Linked DNA regions of Elephas maximus indicus. The protein of the gene in region 1 purifies or fractionates together with the protein of each later gene. This does not show direct contact. Links are inferred from orthologs where the notes say so. Each region holds a gene or a part of one and is shown in the gene's direction. Other genes may lie near its edges. The genes, in order: CEP76, CEP97 and CCP110.

The links.
Region 2: the proteins of CEP76 (region 1) and CEP97 purify together in Homo sapiens (co-immunoprecipitation; 4 studies listed by BioGRID and IntAct, with this or other methods). This does not show direct contact. The link is inferred for Elephas maximus indicus from reciprocal best matches to the Homo sapiens genes CEP76 and CEP97.
Region 3: the proteins of CEP76 (region 1) and CCP110 purify together in Homo sapiens (co-immunoprecipitation; 4 studies listed by BioGRID and IntAct, with this or other methods). This does not show direct contact. The link is inferred for Elephas maximus indicus from reciprocal best matches to the Homo sapiens genes CEP76 and CCP110.

Annotation. Positions count from the first base shown.
Region 1 is NC_064829.1:9,168,596-9,176,528, forward strand, and holds the start of CEP76 (centrosomal protein of 76 kDa), read left to right. Parts: upstream 1-4,864; 5' UTR 4,865-4,994; coding exon 4,995-5,057; intron 5,058-6,423; coding exon 6,424-6,579; intron 6,580-7,933. Other genes in the region: PSMG2 (proteasome assembly chaperone 2), read right to left, coding at 1,722-1,893, 4,366-4,422. UniProt on the Homo sapiens protein: Centrosomal protein involved in regulation of centriole duplication. Required to limit centriole duplication to once per cell cycle by preventing centriole reduplication.
Region 2 is NC_064836.1:72,578,536-72,585,767, forward strand, and holds the start of CEP97 (centrosomal protein of 97 kDa), read left to right. Parts: upstream 1-4,141; 5' UTR 4,142-4,203; coding exon 4,204-4,246; intron 4,247-6,768; coding exon 6,769-6,911; intron 6,912-7,232. UniProt on the Homo sapiens protein: Acts as a key negative regulator of ciliogenesis in collaboration with CCP110 by capping the mother centriole thereby preventing cilia formation. Required for recruitment of CCP110 to the centrosome.
Region 3 is NC_064830.1:79,358,241-79,366,051, forward strand, and holds the start of CCP110 (centriolar coiled-coil protein of 110 kDa), read left to right. Parts: upstream 1-4,647; 5' UTR 4,648-4,864; intron 4,865-5,399; exon of another isoform or gene 5,400-6,611; intron 6,612-7,811. Other genes in the region: GDE1 (glycerophosphodiester phosphodiesterase 1), read right to left, coding at 2,196-2,456.

The DNA of each region.
Region 1 (7,933 bases):
ACAAGGGTAGAGGAACAAGCCAAATGACTCCCTAAGGAAGTAATCAGGTAAATGTAGCATGTGGGACATTCTATGGGACAATGGACCTAGTTTCTCTTCAATCAGTCAGTTTTGTGAAGAAGGAAAAAAAAGAAGGACTACTCTAAAAGATTTCAAGGACACAACAATCAGATGTACTATGGGTCCTAGATTGTGTTCTGGTTTGGACATATGTAAGGGATATTTTGTGGTAAAGCGGTAATTTCAACATGGATGGCATGTAGAAAGTTATTAAGAAATGCCTCACTTTGTTAAATGTCATGTTATTTCAGGTATGTTTCTTACCTTTCAGAGATGCATAGTTACATGTTTGGGGATGAAATGTCATTTTGACAGTTGAAATACCTCATTTTAAACAATAAAGTGGATCGAAGTACTTTATCACTACAGTTGACTTGCTGCTAGTCTGTGTCAGAGAAAAGGAAGTGGATCTTTTACTGGAGTGAGCGAGCATGGAGAGGACAGTGTCGTGGTGAAGAGGCAGCTCACAAGGCCCGGCTGCCTTGATTTCAAACTCAGCTACACCAATTATTAATCACGTGACCTTGAACAATTTACTTATCATCTCTCTGCCACCGTCTCCTCATGTATAAAACTACCTCATGGAGTATCTGTGAGGGCTAAATGAATTAATACATGTAAATATACAGTGTTCAGTTCACAGTAAATGCTCAGTAAGAAACAGCTGTTATCATTAGTGGAAATTATATGAATTCTAGTCCTCTCACTAAAATCTTTTATCCTTTAATGCAATAACTGAAATTCATCTCATGTTAATCTTCCCTGCAGGAATTTCAATAATAAAGTTATTTCTCAAAACTGCATTTCCTTATTGCAAAGTTAGAATAATGTCATGGTTAATAAGACTGACAGAAAACAAAATGCTTCTTCATCTGCTCTTTAATCCACTTGGGCCCCTCAGGCTCCTCTACTACCTTTGGCTTTCACCCCAAAATGGTAAGCAGAAGACCGAGAGGCCAATAGAGCAGTTGGCCATCAAACCAAGTAACGGAGTTCCTGTGCTTCACGATCCACAGCTTTCCCTGATTCCCATGGTGCTATCTCACAGAATCGCCCAACAGCATCAGTGCAATGTGAACAGTGTTCCCTATTAACCGTGCTTGACATGTCCAATGAGGAAATCAGGACTTTTGGAAACATATGCTAAAGGAAAAGCCCACCCTTACTAAGTGGCATTTGGCAACTCACTCTCTCTAAGCCTTACTACCTAATCAGCTTATTACGGATTCCATAACAATGCAACAAGACGACTTGGAGGCTTAGATGAGAAGTACATCTTAAACACTAGGACTGAGTCCAGGCGAATTCTCATTGCCACATTTCCCTTGTATGAGTGATAACGATTACACGTGCCAGTAAGAACAGAAAATAAAACTGAGGATGAAGGAGAAAAAAATTCATGTTGGGGGGAAAAAAAGGAAATCTTAAATTCTATCTAAAGACACAAGTACAGTTACACCCCTCATAAATGCTGCCATTTACAAAAAAAGGCTAAGACCTAAAGCCAGAATGTAACAGGGCAATGTGACTGGGTCATAATACTCACTGACAGCACAAAACCAGCACTAAGTAAACATTTGCTTCAAAACAGTATCTGTGAGTCTATTTCTAATTTAAAACAACTCTGTAGTAGAATAAAACATGCTGCAAGTTGTACATACCCTCAGCATTTATACTGAGTTCTGCTGCGTTTTCTTCTGTGGTTGCATATGGATTGTTTCCAACCATGGGCACAAGACAATCGGTATAAAAGTAACCAACCTTAAACATATTCAGCGTGGAAATAATCAGATCTATTGCAAGCTGGCCAACATTTCCAACGGATACTGCTGGCTGAAATCATAAAAGATATATTCGATAAGTCATAAAATGTTAGCAACACTTTTAAAATTTAGACTGAAAATAATAATCATAGTACTAGTACTGAACGCTTATGCTTGGGTATATCACAGCTAAATACTGACTCTTTCATTATCTATAACTGTGATGTCAGCTGAGGCCTCCTCCACCTTTCACACAATTCATTTACCAAATATTTACTGAGCACCTACTATGTGTCAAACGCTGCTCTAGGCATTGGGGATGGAAAAAAAAAAAAATCAGAAAAAAAATTACTGCCCTTGTGGAGCTTCCTTTCTAGTGAGGATGTGGTTTACCCGCAATAAACAAAATAAATAGGTAAAATATATAGTAGTAAGTACTATGGGCAAAAATAAAAGAGAGAAAAGGGATATAACGTGAGTGTATATGTCCCTGTGTGCAGTTGTTTGTAATTTTAAATTGAGTGTCAAAGAAGACTCACTTCAGGTGCAAAGTGACTACTATGGAACTGAAGGAGTAAGGAAGAGAGGCATACAACAACCTGGGAATGAACATCCTAGGAAGTGGGAAAGTTGTGAGGTATGTACAAAAGCAATCTTGGGTCTTCTTGTACCACTTTCTTTGCCCACATCTAAAGGTTAGAGTGACCTTTTCACACTAAACACACACATACTTATCCCCATGACTTCAAACAGCCAACTGAAATCTCTGCCTACAGCTGAGAACACTTACTTGAGCTCTAGCAGCTAATGGATATCTCTACATGGTTATGCCACAGGCACCCCACATTCAACATGTATAAAACTAAACAACTGCCCAAACCTGTCCCCATATTTTGTATTTCAGAAAAGAGCAACACCATTTACCAGATCACCTAAAACAGGAACCTTCTTCCCTTACCAGCTCTATCTAACACATAACTGATTTTCATTGATTCTTTCTCTAAAGTATCTCTTTAATGGAGTTACTTCCAACTATTGCTCTTTACCGGCCTTCATCCTATTTTGCTGGGCCACTCACAGTGGTCTCCCACTGTTCACACCTGTCATCAACCCTGGCAACCTCCAGTAGTTCCGTTTTTCCTCTCCAAGACTTTGTTTCTTTGGTTATACTCTTTCTCCTGTACGTTGAACCTGCCAGCTACCCCGTGGGAGAAAAATGTGGCAGTCTGCTTCCACAAAGACTACAGCCCTGCCTGGTCCTCACATGCCCCTCTATCTCATTTCTGTGTCCCCACAAAGCCAATACCTCTAACCTTTGTCCTCTGAAACATGAGCAGGAATTTTATTGCTGAACGAATACATACAAATCTCCACATCCTCTAACTCATTCCATAAGCTGCAGCATGGGTTTCCTCTCCACTGAGAACTGTTTGCAAAGGTTACCACCCACATCCCACATGTTGCTAAATCCCAAGCGCACACTTCCTCGTCTTACACATTCGCCTACTTGTGACAAACAGGTATTCTCTCCTTCTTTCAACACTCTCCTCTCTGGCTTCATGTGCTTGATATTTAATGAACAAAAGGACGGCTGTTCACTCTTCAGCCATACACCACTTCCAACAGCGCCTTCTGCAAAGGTGTCTCTTGGGCTCACAGGCCTGCAGCCTATTATCTCTCAATGAGTCATTCCCAGTCCAAATCCTCCAGCTCCCCCATGCCGGTGTGTCTCTGGGGTAGACATCCATTTTCCTGAAATGCCCTATTCCTGCCCCCCAGCCCCCAATACCTCACTTTCTGGGCGTTAATTTCTTTAGGAAGCATTTGAAGAAAAAGCCCTGTGCCCACTCCTCCTCCCCACAAGTCTTAGGGCCTGTCAGCAATCTTTTCAAACTTGCACCCCAGCACTCACTGCCCTCGTCCACTGACGCGTTTCCAGGTAGACTACGAACTCCTGTGGACAAGTCTTATCCTAACATTCGTACGTGCCAGAATGTTTACTGAAACACTGCATGAACGTGGCCAACTGCACAAGCGATAAAACCGTGTTAGCTACTGGCAAAAAAGTGACTTTTATTACTACCACTGATTTTAATACTTTTACAGTAAACTCCCATTTGCTTAAATTCAAGCTAGTAAACGACATGGTTTAAGGTTACATTTATGGTTTCTTAACAGAGAGAACCTCTGGAGAACAGCATTACTTTGCTAGCTTAAAACCGACCTAGAAGTAGCTGGGAAGACCTCTGAGGGTACACTTGAGGACGATACCCTGTACAACCCACGCAGCCCAGCAGCTCGTGTCACAGCTAACAGACGGACTACCGACTCGCACAAGCCCACAGGTCCACGAAGGCTCTCGAGAACCGCCGCCTCCCGCGACAGACAGCCTCTGCTGCCCCTTCAGTGAGGGCTGACAACTGCACAGAAACGGCCCCTCTCTCCCCCGACCCTGCGCGGCCCGAGCCCGGGGGATGAAGCCGCCGGCGCCTCCGGAGGCCGTGGCCCTGCGGGGCCGCCGAGAACTCGCCAGAGAACCCACCATCAAGAGGGTGAAGCCCGTGAGCTCGGGCGCCGGGTCCACGCAGGGCACAAACATGGCCGCAACGTGGGGCTGAAGGAAGGGACAGAGCGGGGGCGGCGGCGAAGTCGACCTGCCTGCGGCCCGAGCGGCGGGAACGCGGAGCGGGAACAGCGGGAACGCGCGGAGAAAGGAGCAGACAGGACTCGAACGCGGCCGGGCCGGCGGGGTCCTGCGTCCCCTCGGCGCCAGGTCCTCGGAGGCCTTCCAGTTTAACTGCCTGCGCGGAAGGCGGGAAGAAACTGCGAGGGAACGGGAAACGGAAGGGCAACACGTTCGGAGACCCTGGAAAGGCTCATCGGCTGGTGTGTGGAGGCTGCGGGGGCCCGGGGACACCCGCTCCCGGCCGCTCAGGCGGCGCTGGGGGCACCCCGGGGCTCGCCGCTCCGCTCCCCGGCTCCGCCCCAGACGCCCCGCCCCGCCCCGCCCCGCCCCGCCCCGCCCCGCCCCGCCCCGTCCGGCCTTAGAGCGCGCGCGGGGAGCTGACGCGGTCGTCGTTCGGAGGCGCTGTCGCGGTAGTGGTTCGGCGGAACGCCGGCCGTTGGGACTCCCAGGCCGGGTAGGAGCGGTGGCGAGGCGCGGCCGGCGACATGTCCCTGCCCGCGGAGAAAGCCTCGGAGCTGAAGCAGCTCATCCACCAGCAGCTGAACAAGGTGAGGGCGCGCGGGCTCCTCCGTGCCAGTGTCGGTCCTCGGGGTTCGGGCCGGGCCGTGGGAGCAGAGGTCGGAGCGGCAGAGGTCGGAGCGGGAGAGGTCGGGGGAGCAGAGGTCGGAGCGGCAGAGGTCGGAGGGGCAGAGGTCGGAGCGGCAGAGGTCGGAGGGGCAGAGGTCGGAGGGGCAGAGGTCGGAGGGGCAGAGGTCGGAGGGGCGAGGCTTGGGTTTGCAGCCAGGAGAGCTTTCTGGCCTCGCTGACAGAGACTCGCTGAGGAAGCGGGAGTGCCGGGCTGCGCTGACGGACGGGTCGGGTTCTGGGGGACCGTGGTGAACAGGAAGTGTCCGTCGAGTCGCTGCAGGAAGTCAAACCTGCGCTTGGATCCCGTGTTTATACTCAGACTTGAAAAGTCAGAATCGGTTTAAGGGTGAAACACGAGGGTGCCGTTGAAATTGAGCGGGTAGCTTAAACCAGCAGTTCTCAAAAAGTCATAGAAGAGAAGGCGCTAAAGTCTGTAACAAAAATATTTGTGATGCTTTGGAGCAGGAGAACACGGAATGTTCGGGACACTCAACTGAATGCAATAAGCTGATTTGAAAAAACCGGGCATTTGAAATATTAATAAAAGCTGCCATGTGTTGTGCACTTGTACGCCAGGCTTTGTGCTGGGTGTTGAGCATCTGTCATCGAATCCTGACCACCAACCTGTGAGAGGGCAATACTTTCCTCATGTTATAGACGAGGAAGCAGGTTCAGGAAGGGTAAATAAGTTGGCACGAGGTTACACCTCTAATAAGTTGAAAATAAATTCAAACGTTGATTTATCTACTCCAGGTTCTTTTGATGTTACTGTATTTCTTTTTAAAAGATACATATTTTACTTGAGTCTTGTTTGTGCGGAAAAAGTAACAGATGACCAGTAGAGACTCTAAAAAATTTGTACTGAAAATTTCATCTTTTTTTTTTTTTCTTAAAAACAACGAAACCACTTGCCCTTGTTTTCACTGAATTGTGGTAACAAGTTTACAATTAACTGGAGAAGCCTGAAACCCAAATTTCCTAAGTTTAGTCTCTAACATCCCTGTTATTTTTTTTTTTAATAACATTTTATTGTGTTTTTGGTGAAAGTTTACACAGCAAGTTAGGTTCCCGTTTGACAATTTCCACACAGATTGATCAGTGACGTTAGTTACGGTTTTGAAGTTGTGTCAAGATTCTCCTTAATTTTGTTCTGATTGTTCCCCGTTTTTTTCTTTATTACTTTGATTTAGTATTTTAGAAAGAAACTGGTTAATTGGTAATATTTGGCTGCTTTGATACATGTGCTCTTCAGGAGAAAAAAAATTGTAACGTGAGTTTTCTACGTAGATGGATGTCCACGGCAGAATACGAGAAATCCTTGCTGAGACTATACGTGAAGAACTGGCACCTGATCAACAACAGTTATCAACAGAAGATTTGATCAAAGCCCTTAGACGTAGAGGAATCATTGATGATGTGATGAAGGAACTGAATTTTGTTACTGTGAGTAATGATTTAGGGAAAAAAAGTTGACAGTGTAAGTCTGTTCTCATGCTTGACAATGTTTATAGGGTGCATATTTGGGGCCTCCTTTTAATAAAACCGCTTTAAACCTTTTTGTCTAGTAATACCCTAGTTTCAAGTATTTTTTTTTTTCAAGTATAAGGTAGCTCTACGAATATAGCAAATAGTATTATTTGCTATAATATCAGTGAAATTGGAGGGGATTCCACATTCCTGTCTGTATATTGACAGAATTTTCTCGTTATCCTCCAGGTCTACAATTTTAAATGCACATATTTTAGTCACATTACTTCATCATGTTATTAGGTGCCATCCAGTTGGTTCAGACTCATAACGACCTTATGTATAACAGAATGAAATGCTGGTCCTGTGCCATCCTTATAATCTTTGATATGTTTGAGCCCATTGTTGCAGCCACTGTGTCAGTCCATCTCACTGAAGGTCTTCCTCTTTTTGGCTGACCTTCTGGTCTGCCAAGCATGATGTCCTTCTGCAGGGACTGGTCCCTTCTGATAACATGTCCTAAGCACAGGAGATGAAGTCTTGCCTCCTGGCTTCCAGGGAGCACTCTGGCTGTATTTCTTCCAAGACAGACTTGTTCATTCTTCTGGGAGTCCATGGTATATTTAGTATTCTTTGCCATAACTCAAAGGCATCAGTTCTTCAGTCTTCGGTATTCATTGTCCAGCTTTCACATGCATATGAGCCTGTTGAAAATATCATGGCTTAGGTCAGGTGCATCTTAGTCACCATAGCAGAGTTCTTTTTCATTAAGATTATAGTGTAATTTTTTTTAGATTGACGAGCTTATTTTTAAAATAAATGCATTTTTTGGGGAGTGAATTTTCTATGACTAACAAATTATAAATTTCTTTAAGAAAATAGTGTGACTGCTTAAGAGCCCTCAAATCTTTTCCTACAAATAGGTCAGTAGCAGAGTGATAGCCTCTCAGTACATAATTAGTAAGTAGGCCTTTTGAAAATGAGGCAATAATGAGAAGCTGTGACCTCAATACCTGGATAACCTGATGTAAAAATTGGAATGGATTTTATAATACACGAAGGAATAAAGTGTTTAATACAGCATCCTTTTTTAGTTTTTGAGGTTTAGAAACCTATTTATTATTAAAAAATGACCTAGTAACAGCTTCTGCTGTGTGAATTACACTTCCTTGTAAAAACCTGCTCATGACCATTCATAAACCAAATGTTGTATGAGGTTTAGAAAAAGTTTAGCTTTCTTTAAGTATTAAGGGTTTGTATTTAACACTTCTGTTTGTTTGAAAACAATTTCTTAGTGTTAGATTTTTAGGAGTTACAAATTATATTTTAC
Region 2 (7,232 bases), on another chromosome or scaffold:
AGGGAAGCCCTCAATGACATGGACTGACATGATAGCTGCAACAATGGATTTAAACACACCAATGATCGTGAGGATGGTGCAGGACCAGGCAACGTTTCCTTCTGTTATACACAAGGTCGCCGTGAGTCTGAGCAGACTGACAGCAGCTAACAACGGAACAGGGCTCAGAAAATGTTTTCTGTAAAGGGCCAGATAGGAAATACTTTAGGCTTTGCAGGCTAAGTGGCGAAATCAAGAATATCACATAGGTACTTATTTAATAAGAGAAAATAATTTCCACAAAATTGTCATTGATGAAATTAGACATCGATATTATGATGTATTATATGTAAACATATTTGCAATATAACATAAATATATTTTTGTAATCCTGGTATGCCAACGAGAAGAAAATTCTTTTTTTGGAGTGGTGAGTAACATTTTGCTTAATTGGGGTTCAAAATTATTATTCCCTATTATTATTATTATTTTTTATCATCAAAATGGGTTGCAAATGTTCATCTGTTGATCCTGAGCTGTGAGGAGGTCCTATACCCTTCATCTTCACACAGTACCGCCCAATTCTGATGTCAATTCAAGGGATATACTTTTAATCGAACACATTAATCTCTTGGAAGGCAATTACAGAATTCGACTATTCTCTTGATTGCTTTGTTAGCATATCGGATTAATCACTTCCAATTGAATGTTAGGTAAAAGCTCCTCAATTGCACAGTTAAATGGATTTTGAAATATGGAAACTTTTCTTCCCTTGCATTGAGATCTGCAAAACACTGTGTCTTAGTTTCCTAGTGCTGTAACAGAAATACCATAGGTGAGTGGCTTTAAGGATACTCATATTAAACAGCTGGCAACCCTAACTTCTTGGGATCTTCTTGCAGTGATTTTGTGAAAATTAGAGGTAATATATGCAACATAGGTATTACAAAGCCTAGCACATAAAAAAAGATAAATCATAATTATGATAATAATATTAGGAAATTGAATACTCATTTGGGGCTTCTAGATAACCTGCGGAGCTCTGGTGGCACAGTGGTTAAAATGCCTGGCTGCTAACCAAAAGGTCTACGGTTGGAGCCCACCAGCTGCTCCACGGAAGAAAGATGTGGCAGTTCGCTTCTGTAAAGATTACAGCCTTGGAAACCCTATGGGGCAGTTCTACTCCGTCCTATAGGTCACTATGAGTTGGAATCAACTTGACGGCGACGGGTAGATAACCCATAGATAGACATTTCATAGTGGCAATAACTCCTTCCGTTCAGGAGATCATAGATAAGGAAGCCAAACCATAAAAGGCTACCAATAAATACTAACCAGAGAAGAAAATGTTCAATTTTATCCACCTAAACTTTTGCATAAATAAGGATTTTTTTTTACTGTAAGAAAAACTGGCACATTTTCAAAAGCTTTACAATGATAAAATTCTTCATATTAATAATATCCTAGTTTTAAAACTTAAAAACTCCGAAGTTATTATTATACTTCTTTCACATGCAAGTTCTCATCCTGATTAGAAAACCACCTTTATTTCGACAAGGTAAACTGCACTGTCCAAACCTGTGGTTTCAGTACCCTGCCTTCCTCCTCTCTTATATTCATCTTACCTAACTTATGTCCCAACACTCCACTGAAGCTGCTTTGTTGAAGGTTACCACTCACCATTACAACAGTCTCCTTCCTGCCACGATTGTCTGTACCTTCTTGTCCATCCTGCTACACGATCAGTTTAACCCTTCTAAAACACAAGTTTCATTATGTCAATCCCTCACTCAAAAACACCTAATGAAAACTAGCAGTGGGAAATAGGGTGAGGCCAGATTATGGTGGTTTTTGGAAGTTGAATTTCAAGTGGGATATGTTTGAGGAAAAGAGTAACATGATGAAAGGTATTGTTTTACCTTGATCATGCCAGTAACAGTGGGCAGGATGAATTAGAGATGGGGGAGACGAGTCAGGCGATCAGCTGTAGCAGGGATCAGGTATGCTGTGCTGGCAAAAAGGAAAGTCTTCCTTGTGGGCCTGGGCCTGTCAAAGAAATGCTACCTTGCCAAGGGGTTCATAGTGGTGTTGGTTATTAGAATCTCCTAAATTGGTTGGGGCTTGTAAGTGTTAACATATATAGAAGACAATGCAATTTAGTTTAAGTGTAGTAATTTGATTTTTGATGTAAAAGCTGTATCTGAAGTACAAAAGAGTTTCTGTGCTGTCACTTTAAAGGGTGGCTGGGTCACTTGGGCACATGGGGCCTTGCTCAGGAACACCCGGGGTGGATTATCCAATAGGCAAGGTAAGCTCTGTTCTTACCTTGCTTACTATATCATCTGTAAACAGTTTTTGTTTCTAGTTATGGCTGGAATCTGTCCTTCTCTCAAACTCACAGCACCTTCTTAGAGAATCAAGGCCTCTTTTCAAATTTACAGTCCCTCACAAGGACAGTTCACCCAGTAAGCAAGGTAAGCATGGGCTTATTTGTGCTTATTTGGTAATTTGTAGTGACCAATTTAAAAAAAAAAATTATTTGTAAGCACAAATAAGCCCATGCTTACCTTGCTTACTGGGTAATCTGCCCCTGGGAACACCTGTTCACTCTCTTCAAGATTAATGATTATAATTGGTTAGCCCCAGAAAAGGAGTCCTTTGGCTCTTTGCTCAGAACACCAGAGCAGATGAACCGATCAAAACTCTGCTTCAGTTATTGCTGTAAACTTGTGGGATCCTGTGCTCTTCAAGTACCCTCCAGACTTGCAGGAACTCCTCTCCCAAGTCGTTAGCCTCTAAAGTGGAGTGAATTGTAAACCCTCTCTCTTTGGGCTAGAGACTCTCCTCAATCCTTACTGCTCATTCCAGGGAACAAGAGTTAAAAGGAGGCAGCACTGAGGCTTGCTGTATTCATATATAGTAAGTCTGTGCTCTCTAGGTAAAGGGTCTCTAGGTTACAGGGGAAAAAAAAATCCTACTCAATTTCCTCTTCAGAACTAGGACATTTGTCTTCAGACTAAAACAGTACGAAACAGTAAAAGCAAAAACAGTGAAGGCAGGTGCAGTCAGATAGGAGGAGAACCAAGGAAGGAGGGAATGCTTATAGAATCAAGTGCCTGGAAATCTAAAAGGATGAGTTACTGGATTTTCCCAAAGAGAAATTATCAGAGACTTTGGAGATTACAGTTTCAGGAAAAGATGAGATCAGAATAAAGATTAAAAGAGGGAGTGAGTGAGTTAGTAGTAGAAAGTGGAAGCTCCCTTAATATAGTCTATGGTGCTGTCAGGTTAGTTTCTCACTTCCTATGAGCACAGCTTCATGGCCACCTGCAGCCTATGTGCATGTTTTTTCAACTGTCTACTTCTTGACTTCAGATTCTACCCAAAAACCATCTACTCAACGTTTAAATCCTAGATCGATTTCACTTCCTCCATCAAATCTTCCCTGAAGATTATAGTTGTCCTTCGCCACAACCTTATTGAGTTCCTAGTTCAAGCATACCATTTAAAACCATTTAGCAAGGAACAATTCTAATAAAAGTGTGAGCCAACCCCCCTCCAACTACCGGTTGCCCCCGAGTCGATTTTGACTCATTGCGACCCCCATAGGCAGTGTAATTCTTCAGTTTGGAGACTATATACATTTCAAATTTCTTTCGAATACTTCCTGGAAAAATTCTGGGTTCATACTTATTAAATGTACCTCCAGGTCAGAAGTTCTGTTAAATACTCGAAAACAACCGCTCAAAAATACTGTAAAAAAGTTTCTATCTCGATATGCTTTAAATCCTTTTACTTAGCTAAATTCTTATAAAATGTATCTATTTGACTATCATAAGACAGCTGAAGTCGTTCCTATAGTGGGGACTGTCCCCACAAGACTTCTGCGAGCTCTCAAGTTCAGACTACATTAAGTAGCTTCTTTATAATCATCCCGATGGTAAAAGTATCAAATTTCGCTAACACCTAGAAAAGGGGCATGAAATGATTATCCAATAATGCAGTTTGCTCATCTGTCAAATGAGGGAGTGGACCAGTGTTCCGGAGCTCATTACAGGTCAGTTTCTAATCCCTGGGTTCACTCCGTTAAGTTTAAACAGCCAATTAGGTCTTCTGGGTGCTGTGCATCCTGGGAGTTGTAGTTTCCGGCTCCCTCCTCCTGCCTACAAGCTCCACAGGAGTGGCCGCAGGACGGTTGCCTGGTATTATTAGCAAGCGGGAAGTATGGCGGTGGCGCGCGTCGATGCGGCTTTGCCTTCGGGAGAAGGTAAGGCGGTCCCTACCTCTGGGTCCCAAACTTTACCGAGCCAAATTAAATAGTTGTCTGGTGGAGAGGGGAAGCCCGGGTTTAGCTGTACAGTTCTGGACCAGGTCTTTTGATGCGCGGCTGTGGGCGTCGCGGAGGCGCGCTGCCTTCTGGGAGTTGTAGTCACCAGGCACTGTCCAGCCCTCCGGCCTCCCGGCGAGGGCCAAGCGAGGGACTACTGACCCCAGGGGCCTTCGCGCGCGCGCGCACCTCGGCTCCCGTGCTGCCGGGGCGGGGGGTTGGTGGGTTTGGGGCTGCGGTGTCTTTTCCTGGACGTTTGCTTTGTGTTTCGGGGCCGCGAATGAAATTGGCAGGATCTCCTTTTTCGCTGCCATGTCCCTCTTTCCCTTCGGTTTCTAGAACGTTCAGGAAACTGCACGGAACACCTTTTCCTACACTGACGTTGAACCCCTCCTTAGAAGGGAACGGTGGCCGTGATAACATGGGGGGGAGGGGGTGATCCAGAGCCCCCAGTTTCCCACCCCTCCTTACGCATACGGGGTCCTGGGAACGGATTTGGTCGCCGCTCAACAGAGCTCGGGGGGTGGGTGCCTCTGTGGCCGGGAGGTACCTCTTTGGGGCGCAAGGCGTGAGCTGAGCTCCTTTGTTTTGGTTACCGCTCCGAGGCTCCTCAGCAGCCGTTTGGATCGGGGTCAGGGCAGGGAGTCGGGACCCATCTCCAGGGCTTAGACCAGGGGCTCGTTATTTGGGACCTGTAAATTGTTCGGGGCGGGGGGGAGGTGACCCGATGGTTCTAAGAGGTCTGGCAAACCCCTCGGAATGGTGTGCAAACAAAGAGTGGGCATTTTCTGGGACAGTACATAGCTTGCATCAGATTCCCAGAGGAGTCCATGACCCCCCAAATGCTAAGCGCCATTTTAGACGCGGAAAAACGTTGAAACCTTCCAGGGAGCAATCTTAGCGTAATTATTTCTCGCAGTCCTAATCTGGGTATAAATTTGAAATTACAAGTTTCTCTGGCCCCGCCCCCCACTGCTATCTACTTCTGTTAAACTCCACCTTCTCTGCCCACCCAGGCAATTTACTGACAGTAATAGCAGTTAACATTTATAGAGCAATTTTTATGAGCCAGAGGATGTTCCAAGTGCTTTTGTTACATTATCTCATTTTGTGTAGAACTACATGATAAGGCAGGTATTATCATCACCATTTTACCGAGTAGACAAGTGAGCCCAAAAGAAGTAACTTGCCCAAGATATCACAGTGGAGTAACCCGATGGAGCCAGGATTTGAACGTTCTGTTATATTACTTTATTGAATGCTGTATGGTTTGTGGGCCAGGAACAGGACTAAGTGTTTGTCACATGGCTTCTCTTTTAATACAACCTAGTGAAATCGGTGTATTGTCCTCATTTTAGAGATGAATTAACTATACTTTTTTTTTGAAGTTGTCAAAAATTTCAGATTAAATGCAACTTTGAAGTTTACAGACAAGTTTATGATAACAATAATAACAAAGCCATATTGAAGAAGTATATTCCTCTGAAAAAACACTAGGGACACATTTGTAGAAAGAAATATGGCTAAGAAAACTGATTAAAGTACTTGAATTAAAAAAAAGTACTTGAATGATTAAAGTACTTGAACAACAAAACTAATATTTATATTGTAGAATATTTAGATAATATATTCTGCTAATTTTATTTTTAATGTGTAAATAATATAGTTAAGTTTTTTTTGCTTTAATGTACAAGGTGTGTTGTTTTTATATTTTAAGAAATACTTTTATTTTTGAAAATAGTTTTGGAATAGGCCCACAAATAAAACCAATTTAAGAATCAGTATTTCAGTATATGACAATATGATTTTTAGCATCACCTTTCACTGTGAAAATGGTTCTGGTTTGGATCATAATCCATATAGTCTTCCAAATGTGAAAGGAAAGCAATTTTGGCTCAGTATGCGCAAAGGCATTTATGGAGTAAAAAGAAGGCTGGTGAGGCTTTTGCTTAGTAAAAGGCTTCTTTTGGTTAATAGCCTTTGTCTTGGCTGCCTTTTTCCTGAGAGAACCGAACTATAGTTTTCAAAATAGTTTGAGTTCTGGGTAATATGCTGGAAGTTAGGTTATAAGCAGGTTGATCTTTATAAAAACTTCACTTCATTTTTTAAAAAGCTATTATTTAGTTATAACATATAGATGTAATAGTTCATATATAAATGTGCAGAATTCCAAAGTGTTATAGAAACTTGAACAGAAAATCACAAATCTAGTTGTACTGTTTTATTTCTAAGGAAAAGTGAATAATTTCAGTCTGGTCATTTTGAACTCAAGATGGGCTTACTTTTAGAATCTTGACATCCTACTCATATGAATCAGAATCAACTTGACCCACGGAGCAGCAACAACAGTGTTTTCTGACTCTAAATGTATAGGTTTTTCGCAAGTATAATTTCATCCTTGTGTTCAGCTGTTGTATTTGCTTTATTTGTGTTTTCCAACAATGTCCCTTCTCTTTTTCAAGGTTCAGTAGTCAATTGGTCAGGGCAAGGACTACAGAAATTAGGTCTAAACTTGCCCTGTGAAGCTGATATCCATACTTTGATTCTGGATAAAAACCAGATTATTAAACTGGAAAATCTTGAGAAATGCAGACGATTAATACAGGTAAGTGTTATTCTCTGGGGAAATAGTTACACAGGACCAGTTTATTATTAAACAAAACAAAACAATAAAATCACCAAATAGAAGATAACTCTGCAGGCCTGGGAAGCAGTAAATGTCTTGAATTTTTACTTACCAGTTTCTCATAATGATGAAAACGTATGTACTACATCTAGGGTGGACTAGAAAAAGAAGAATTGTTAAAAAAAGAAAACATTTTATGTTGGCAAAATGTTGTGTTGCTAAGATAACCTTTTACCTCACCGTGGAGGTAAAGAGTTCATTCATTCAGCAAATGTTTACTGGGCCTCTGTTAGAGTCTTC
Region 3 (7,811 bases), on another chromosome or scaffold:
AAAGCTACTCTACAGTCTCCTTTCCATCACAAGAGAACCAAGGGGAGAGAAATATAATAGAAGTTTGTTGTTCTTACGTGCTGTGATTCCGATTCATAGAGACCCCATGTGATAGAGCAGAACTGCATCACAGGGTTTTCTAGGGTGGTACAACGGTCAGGCGCTTAGTTGCTAACCAAAAGGTTGGCAGTTCAAACCCACCCAGTGGTTCTGTGGGAGAAAAGACCTGGTGATCTGCTCCCATAAAGATTATAGCCTAGGAAACCCTATAGGGAAGTTTTTCTTGGTCATATGGGATCACTATGAGTCGAAATCCACTCCACAGCACCTAACAACAACAAACTTTACCTGAGCAGATCTCCAGGTCTTTTCTCCCATGGAGTCTCTGGGTGGGTTTGAACCACCAACTTTTTGGTTAGCAGTCAAGTGTTTAACCATTGTGCCACTAACTTGGTTTAAAAATACAAAAACTGAGATACCCTGCACTGACTCAAAGGTTGCCTGATCTCCTTCTCTTGTCACATTTAGTTTTTTGTTTAGTTTACACCACAGCAATTTTAAAGAGTTATGCTAACTTTAGATTCCTGACAGAATAGCTTATATTTGTGGAGTTCTTACCACGGGACAGGCAGTTTATGTGGATTGCCTCATTGAATCCTTGCAACCTATTAGACAGATGAAGTCCCTGGGTGATGTAAAAGGTTAACTTACTTGGCTGCTAACAGAAAGCTGGAAGTTCGAATCTACCCAGAGATGCCTCAAAAAAAGGCCTGTGACCTACTTCCAAAAAATCAGCCAGTGAAAACCTCGTGGAGCAGTTTTACTCTGACATACAAGGGGTCACCATGAACTGGAATTGACTCAATGACAATTATTTTTAATTAGGTAGATATCAATATTATTCCCATTTTACAGATGGGAAAACTGCGGTTAGGGCTGTGACCAGGGTGAGGAGAGGTGCCCACAGTGCAACATTAGATGCCAACTCACACGCCTTGCTTGCCACACCCTAGTCATGACCCTGACTGGGGCACAGAAGCTTAAGTAACTTGTTCATTACACAATACTGTCTGTCCCTAGCTGGATAAAGAAAGGAAGGTTCAAGTTTTTACATCCTGGAACACATTCTAAACTATGACAAAGAGCACTGGGCTTGGAATCAGAAAGCTGAAATCTGGAGGAAGATGTATGCATTTGAGTCTCAGTTTTCCCACCCATTTAATGTGAAAGTCATGTCTCAAAGGAATGAGAGGATCAGATATATTTCCACAGATGTAAAAGTGTGTGGTCAACTGAAAAGCTCTTTTATTGTGCAAGCTGTCATTATTATGAAGACAGGAGACTGCCAGGAGCTGGGAGAGATCAACAGTCTCAGAAGTGAGTGCCTTGTAAAAATTGATCAGTGAGCCTGCCAGGGTTGTTGTGTGAGTTCAAATATATGCTTTGGGGATGTATGTGCGTGCATGTGCTATAAGGAGGTGACAAAGTCAGAGGACAAGCAAAGCACCACATTCCTGTGAAGGTTGTTCCATTTAGAATAAGCTCAACTATTGACCAAGACTCTTTGTGACCTGGCCACATTTCCTACTTCATTCACACATCAGCCTTTGTTCTGTTTCTTGAGTTCAGGCCTTCAACAGCCTTCTCTATTCCCTGGACACTCAAGAAAGATCACTAACACCTCAGAGCTTTTGCACTTGCTGTTCCCTTTGCCTGGAACACTTTTTCCCCAAGTCCCAGGGCTGGCTTCTTCTCATAATACCAGTTTCCATTCAAATACTACTATCTAAATATATCACATATACTAACTTCCAGTCATTCTTTACCCCATTACCGTATTTCTTCAGTGCACTTTTTGCCCTATTAAAAGTATCTCATTTACTTATTTAAGGCCTGTCTTCCCTACTCCAATGCAAGCTCCGTAAAGGCAGGGACCCTGTCGGCCCTGTTCATGGCTGTATCCCCTGTGCCTGGCAGTCGGCAGGCGTTCTATAAATATTTGTTTAAGTATTCTATAAATACCTGAAGCCCGGCGAGTCCCAGATACTGGGAAGGATCAAGGGCCATAGTAATGCATTACTTGAGGGCTAGCAGGTAACCGGGAAGGCTATCCTGAGACTGGGGACCTTTGGAAGGTCAAACAGAAGCCCAAGCTTCCAGGTGGAGCTGAGGGGCGAAAGGCGTGGGGGGCTCACCTGTCGGATGGCCGCCAGGGTGTTCTCAGGCGCGTCGTGGCCGCCACCGCGGTGGGCGATAGCGGAGACGCGGCCCCGGGGCTTGAGCACCTGCAAGGCCCTGAGGGAGGGCACTGGCTCAAAGCTGAAGAGGCGCAGCAGGACGTAGAGGCCGCCGGTGAGGAGGCAGGCATTGAAGGGGCTGCGCGTCGCCAGCAGCAGCAGCAGCAGCAGGAAGGAGAAGGGACCCAGGAGGCCCCCCTGCTCCTCCCACAGCCACATGCCGGCGCCAGCACCGGCAAGGACGGGAGTCCCGGACCCGCCGGGCTCCCCAGACAGGAGAGCGGCAGGCGAGGGTGAGAACCCGAGGCGTTTGCCCCAGCTGGCACCTTCCGAGGGGACCAGTGCCGCACAATGGCGGCGACAGATACATCCGGAGAAAGAGACGGAAGTCTAGCCAATCAGAGCCCGGGATCTCCAGAGCGCCGGGCGGAGCCGCTGCCATGGCAACGGAGGCGGGCCCTGGCCCCGGGTTCACGTTCCAAAGTCACTTTTGGATTTTCTGAGGTGGAGACCTTAACATGGACTTTGAGACTTGGTAGAAGAGAAGAAGCGGGATAGAAGAGTCGTCGTACGGTTGTACGGCTAGAAGGGATCTTAGTGACGCCTTCATTCTACCTGGGAGGAAACTGAGGCAAGGGGCAGGACGCTTAGCCTAATCATTTATTCAGTTAAATTCAAGATGCGCCCAACACACATCCAGGTCCTGGGGACGCGGCATAAGAGCAGGACCGACAGGGTCCTTGCTCGTGTGGAGCTTACGTCTTAATTGGGAAAAATAATGTTAGTAAGTAGAGCTATCATTTATAGAGCGAGCATTTACCGTGTCCCAGGTACTGTGCCCAGCAAACGCTTTGTATGCATTATCTGATTTACTCTCAAACAGCCTCAATAGGTAGGTACTATTTCAGAAGTCTGGTTTCAGTCAACTTAACAAGCGATTTTCAGATTCTGAGGAAATGAAAGAACATAGCAAAAGAAGCACAGTCAGATTATAAAGCTGGAAGTGATTTTAATCACTCTCATGGACGAGGAAACTGAGGCCAGGAGCAGTGAAGTCAATGGAGCAGCTTTAATGGTAGAGTCAGGACAGACATCAAGCCATTCCATTTTTAGGCCTGTGACTTTTCCACTGCTACTACTCCTTCCAATCCTACTTCTCCTAAAGAAGTCAATAATTGGGGTTTATGTAGGCATTGTGTAAAGATTATTTCAACTGTTATCCACAATGACTTTGTCATAACCAAACCAAAGCTAAACCCGATGACATCGAGTTGATTCCCACTCACAGCGACCTTATAGGTCAGAGTAGAACTGCCCCACATGGTTTCCAAGGAGCACCTGGTGGATTCGAACTGCCGACCATTATGGTTAGCAGCCGTAGCTCTTAACCAGGGTTTCCAACCTTGTCATACGTTGATATAGGTAAAATCTCCATTTCACTTGTGCAAAAATAGGCATTGGAGGAGGAGGAGTAAGAGAGACAGAAGATATAGCCAAGTTAGGGGGTGGGGGAAAAAAAAATTTGCTGTAGGGTCACCTCTAATTTATGGCAACTTCATGTATGCCATAGTAGAACTTTGCGCCATAGGGTTTTCAAAGGCTGATTTTTCAGGAGCAGCTTGCCAGGCCTTTCTTCTGAGGCGCCTCTGGGTGAACTCAAACCTCCAGCCTTTTGGTTAGCAGCCAAGCAAGTTAACTGCATCACCCAGGGACAGAGGAGAGAAATTGGCCACTAAATCATATTTTGAAAAATTGGTGCCATACTGTTTAGATAGAGAACTTTGGCAAAAGATTTAGGGCTTTTTATGTCATCTTGAATCTGTTAACTTTCTTCTTGGACATCTTTTCCCACTGATTTGTAAAAGGGTAGGGATGTCTTAGGGCTTAGCGCTGGCATCTGTGGATTCAGCAATATTTTATCTACAGAGAAATAATTTTGGTGAATATTGTATGTTTTCCAATGACCATACAGCAAGAGTTTCATCTCTATACATAAAGTAAAAAATGGTAATTTTAAGGAACTTTTCAGAGGCCTTCAGACCCTTAGGAGCGTTCCTACTGTAATAAATTATAATTTTAGAGGCCTTTACTTAAAGTGGAAACCCTGGTGGCCGTGGTTAAGAGCTATGGCTGCCAGACAAAAAGTCGGCAGTTCCAATCCACCAGGCGCTCCTTGGAAACCCAATGGGGTAGTTCTAGCCCGTCCTACACTGTCGTTATGGGTCCGAGTCTACTCCACGGCAAAGGGCTTTACTTATAATGAAGACCACGTCTCCCAGCGTGCACCCTGCTTGCCATAAAGTCTACGCCCTCCATCATTGGGCGAGGGCGCGTACCCTGGCGCGCAATGCACCTTGGGGATTGTAGTTTTTCTAGGACCCGCTCCTTCCAACGGCCGGGGAAGCAAGCACCGGAAGTGCCTGCCCTGGAAGGTGGAGTCCGGGCAGTGGCGGCGGCGGCGGTTGCCAGGTTCCCGCGTTGCCGCTTGAGACCCGTAATATGGCGGGGAGGAGGAGGAGAAGGCGGCGTTGGATCAAGCTGCACTCTGTCAGTGCCATCTGAACTACGTGCTTCCTGACGAGGCCCGGAGCGAGGAAAGAAAAGCTGTTGGGGCTGTGAGGGACCAGGTGTGTGCGTGAGGAGGGGGCTCGACCCTGAGCTGGTCAGGGCTGAGCGACTACCGGGAGAGACGGAACTGGCGCCCTGAGGAGCTGAGGGCGGGCTCCACACTGAGCCCGAGGGCAGGTGCTGGGCTCCGGGGCCGCGAGCCCCTGAAAGGCTTCGGGTGTGAGGAGGCTACAGCCTGGGGGGCCGGCGGCACCGGGCGCGGAGGTGATGCTCGGATGCTGGCACCGCCTGATGGGCCTTTGGGAACTTGTCTGAGGAGCTGGGTGAGGTGGGCGCGGGGCGTTTGGGTGAGGGCACAGGTCCCTGGTAAATAAACGCTGCCCAACCCAGCCCAAAGCCGAAAAATCACCTCCTGTTGATAGAACTGTTCGGGGCCGTGTTTCTTCTCCCACGGTGCTGGAGAGGGAGGGGCCCCCAGGGGCTGCACTGGCCATTTCTGAACGCCGGTTGCCACAACCAAAGGCCCTAGGAGCGCTGTTTACTTTGCCTTTGCGACTCTCGGGGGCGTAAGGATAATAAAGCAAATTCTCTTGATTGCCCCTGATGCTGCTAGGTGGTTCCCACCCTTTGCTATTCTCATCTGGGTGTGGGACCAGTTCCCTGCCTCCAATTTAGGCAATTAAGTAGGGCGCCTAGAGATTGATTTGATGGGCAGAGGGGTCTGGAAGCAGCGAAATGAGGAAGCTGTTGTCCCCCTTTCCATATTTTTTAAGTTACGTTTGAATCTTACCAGGAATCAAGCACTGTCGCTGCCTTCCAGAAATTCATAGTCATCATCATCTTCATAATTAAAGCAGCCCCCATTTTTGATGGTTTCTGATGTCCTTCACTATGCTAATTGCCCTACATGCATTATCTCATTGAATCCTCACAAAATCCCTTTGAGAGGGATACTCTGATTATCCCTGTTTTACAAATGAAGAAACCGAGGCACGGAGACGGTAAGTGACTCAGACAGCTAGTCAGTATGTATCTGAATGAGAAACCTCACCCTTACTGCCTGGACCAGGAGTTTACATCTTGTGGAGGACTGATGGGTGGGTAAACCATCAGCTCAGATCTGAAAAACAAGGCAGGAGCTGTTCTGTTACTTTTGTCATTCCCATCAGTGACAATTTTGGCAGAGTACTGGTGAGGTGCAGATAGTAGAGCCCTGAGTATATGGGGTTTGCTAAGAGGCTCAAGTGGAGAAGGGTCAGTAATACTTGTATGGTATAAATGGAGAAGACAAAGCATGTCTGAACTTGTTGCAACTGACAGATTATTAATGGAAGTGGACCAGTAATGCCTGATGGTAAAGTATGGGGCAGTAGATTTGTGGCTGGGTGGCCTTGTAGTCAAATGCACCCTTAAAATACAGCCTGGCTGACAGTGGTAATTGTGGTGTGAGAAATGTTGTGCCCTCATCCTTAATCGTATGGGTACGGACGGCTCATTTTTTAAATGGTTGCCTTTGCACTTTAGAGGTACCAGTTTCTCTGAGAACAGAGTCACACATGAAACTACTGTCTCTAAATTCCCTTCTTACTTCTTTGGTATTCCTCTTTTTCTGGTTTACCTTATTGTTTGAGCTAATTACCCTAATTCATTTATTCCATACTTTTATCGAGTACCTAATGTGTGCAGACACTACGTAACGGGGATTCAGTGGTGAGCAAGACTGAGAAGGGACCTGTGCTTATGGAGCTTACATTTTGGTGGAGGAAGACAGAAAAAGCCAAGGAAGTAAGATAATTTCAGACAGTGGTAAGTGCTGTGAAAACTGGGAGACAGCAGGGTAATGTGATAGTGAGTGAGGCACTAATGTATAGATGGGATAGTCAGGGATGGCCCCTCTGAAGCTGAGAGATCCTGAGGTGCCATCTCCTAAGGATCCACTCCTGCTCTAGGATCATTTGGTAGTTTCCATGATCTCTAAATTAGTACCTTTATTTGAATGTTTGAAACACTACCATGTGCTGTAAATTATGCTGTAATATGCTACAAACGTGAAGGACAGCATGCACTGTTTAAGGGACGTGAATTTAACTTTCTGAAGCAATGAGGTATATTTACATGATGTTGTTAAAAGAAAATCAAACTATTGCCATAAATGTTGTCTTAGTTAACTACTGCTGCTTTAACAGAATACCACAAGTGGAGGACTTTAACAAACAGAAATTTGTTTTCTCCCACAGTTTAGGAGGCTAGAAGTCCTGGCTCTAGAGGAAGGCGTTCTTTGTCAGCTCTGGAGGAAGGTCCTTGTCTCTTTTGAGCCTCGCTCCTGGGTGATCTTCATGTGGCTTGGCATCTCTCTTACCTCATCTCTGCTTCTCTCTCTTGCTTGTTTAATCTCTCTTATATCTCAAAGTAGATTGACTCAGGACACACCCTACACTAATCCTGCCTCATTAACATAACAAAGACAGCCCATTCTCGGATAAGATTATAACCACAGGCATTAAAAAAAAATTGCCATTGAGTGGATTCTGACTCATAGTGACCCTATAGAACAGAGTAGAACTGCTCCGTAGGGTTTCCAAGGAGTGGCTGGTGGGTCCAAACTGCTGGCTTTTTGGTCAGCAGCCAAGCTGTTAACCACTGCACCACCAGGGCTCCAATCACAGGCATAAACCCAGTGCCATCGAGTTGATTCTGACTCATAGCGACCCTATAGGACAGGGTAGACCTGCCCCATAGAGTTTCCAAGAAACACCTGGTGGATTCAAACTGCCGAGGCTTTGGTTAGCAGCTGTAGCACTTAACCACTACACCGCCAGGGTTTCCATCACAGGCATAGAAGTTAGGAATTATAACTCGTATTTTGGGGGGACACAATTCAATCCTTAACAAAGATATTTTATTTAGGTTTCCTTGACCTTTAAAACAAAATTTCATGCTTTGCTTGTGTATGCATAGGAGTATATTACAGTGGTTGTATGAATAATCTATTTAAGTTCCCTGTGA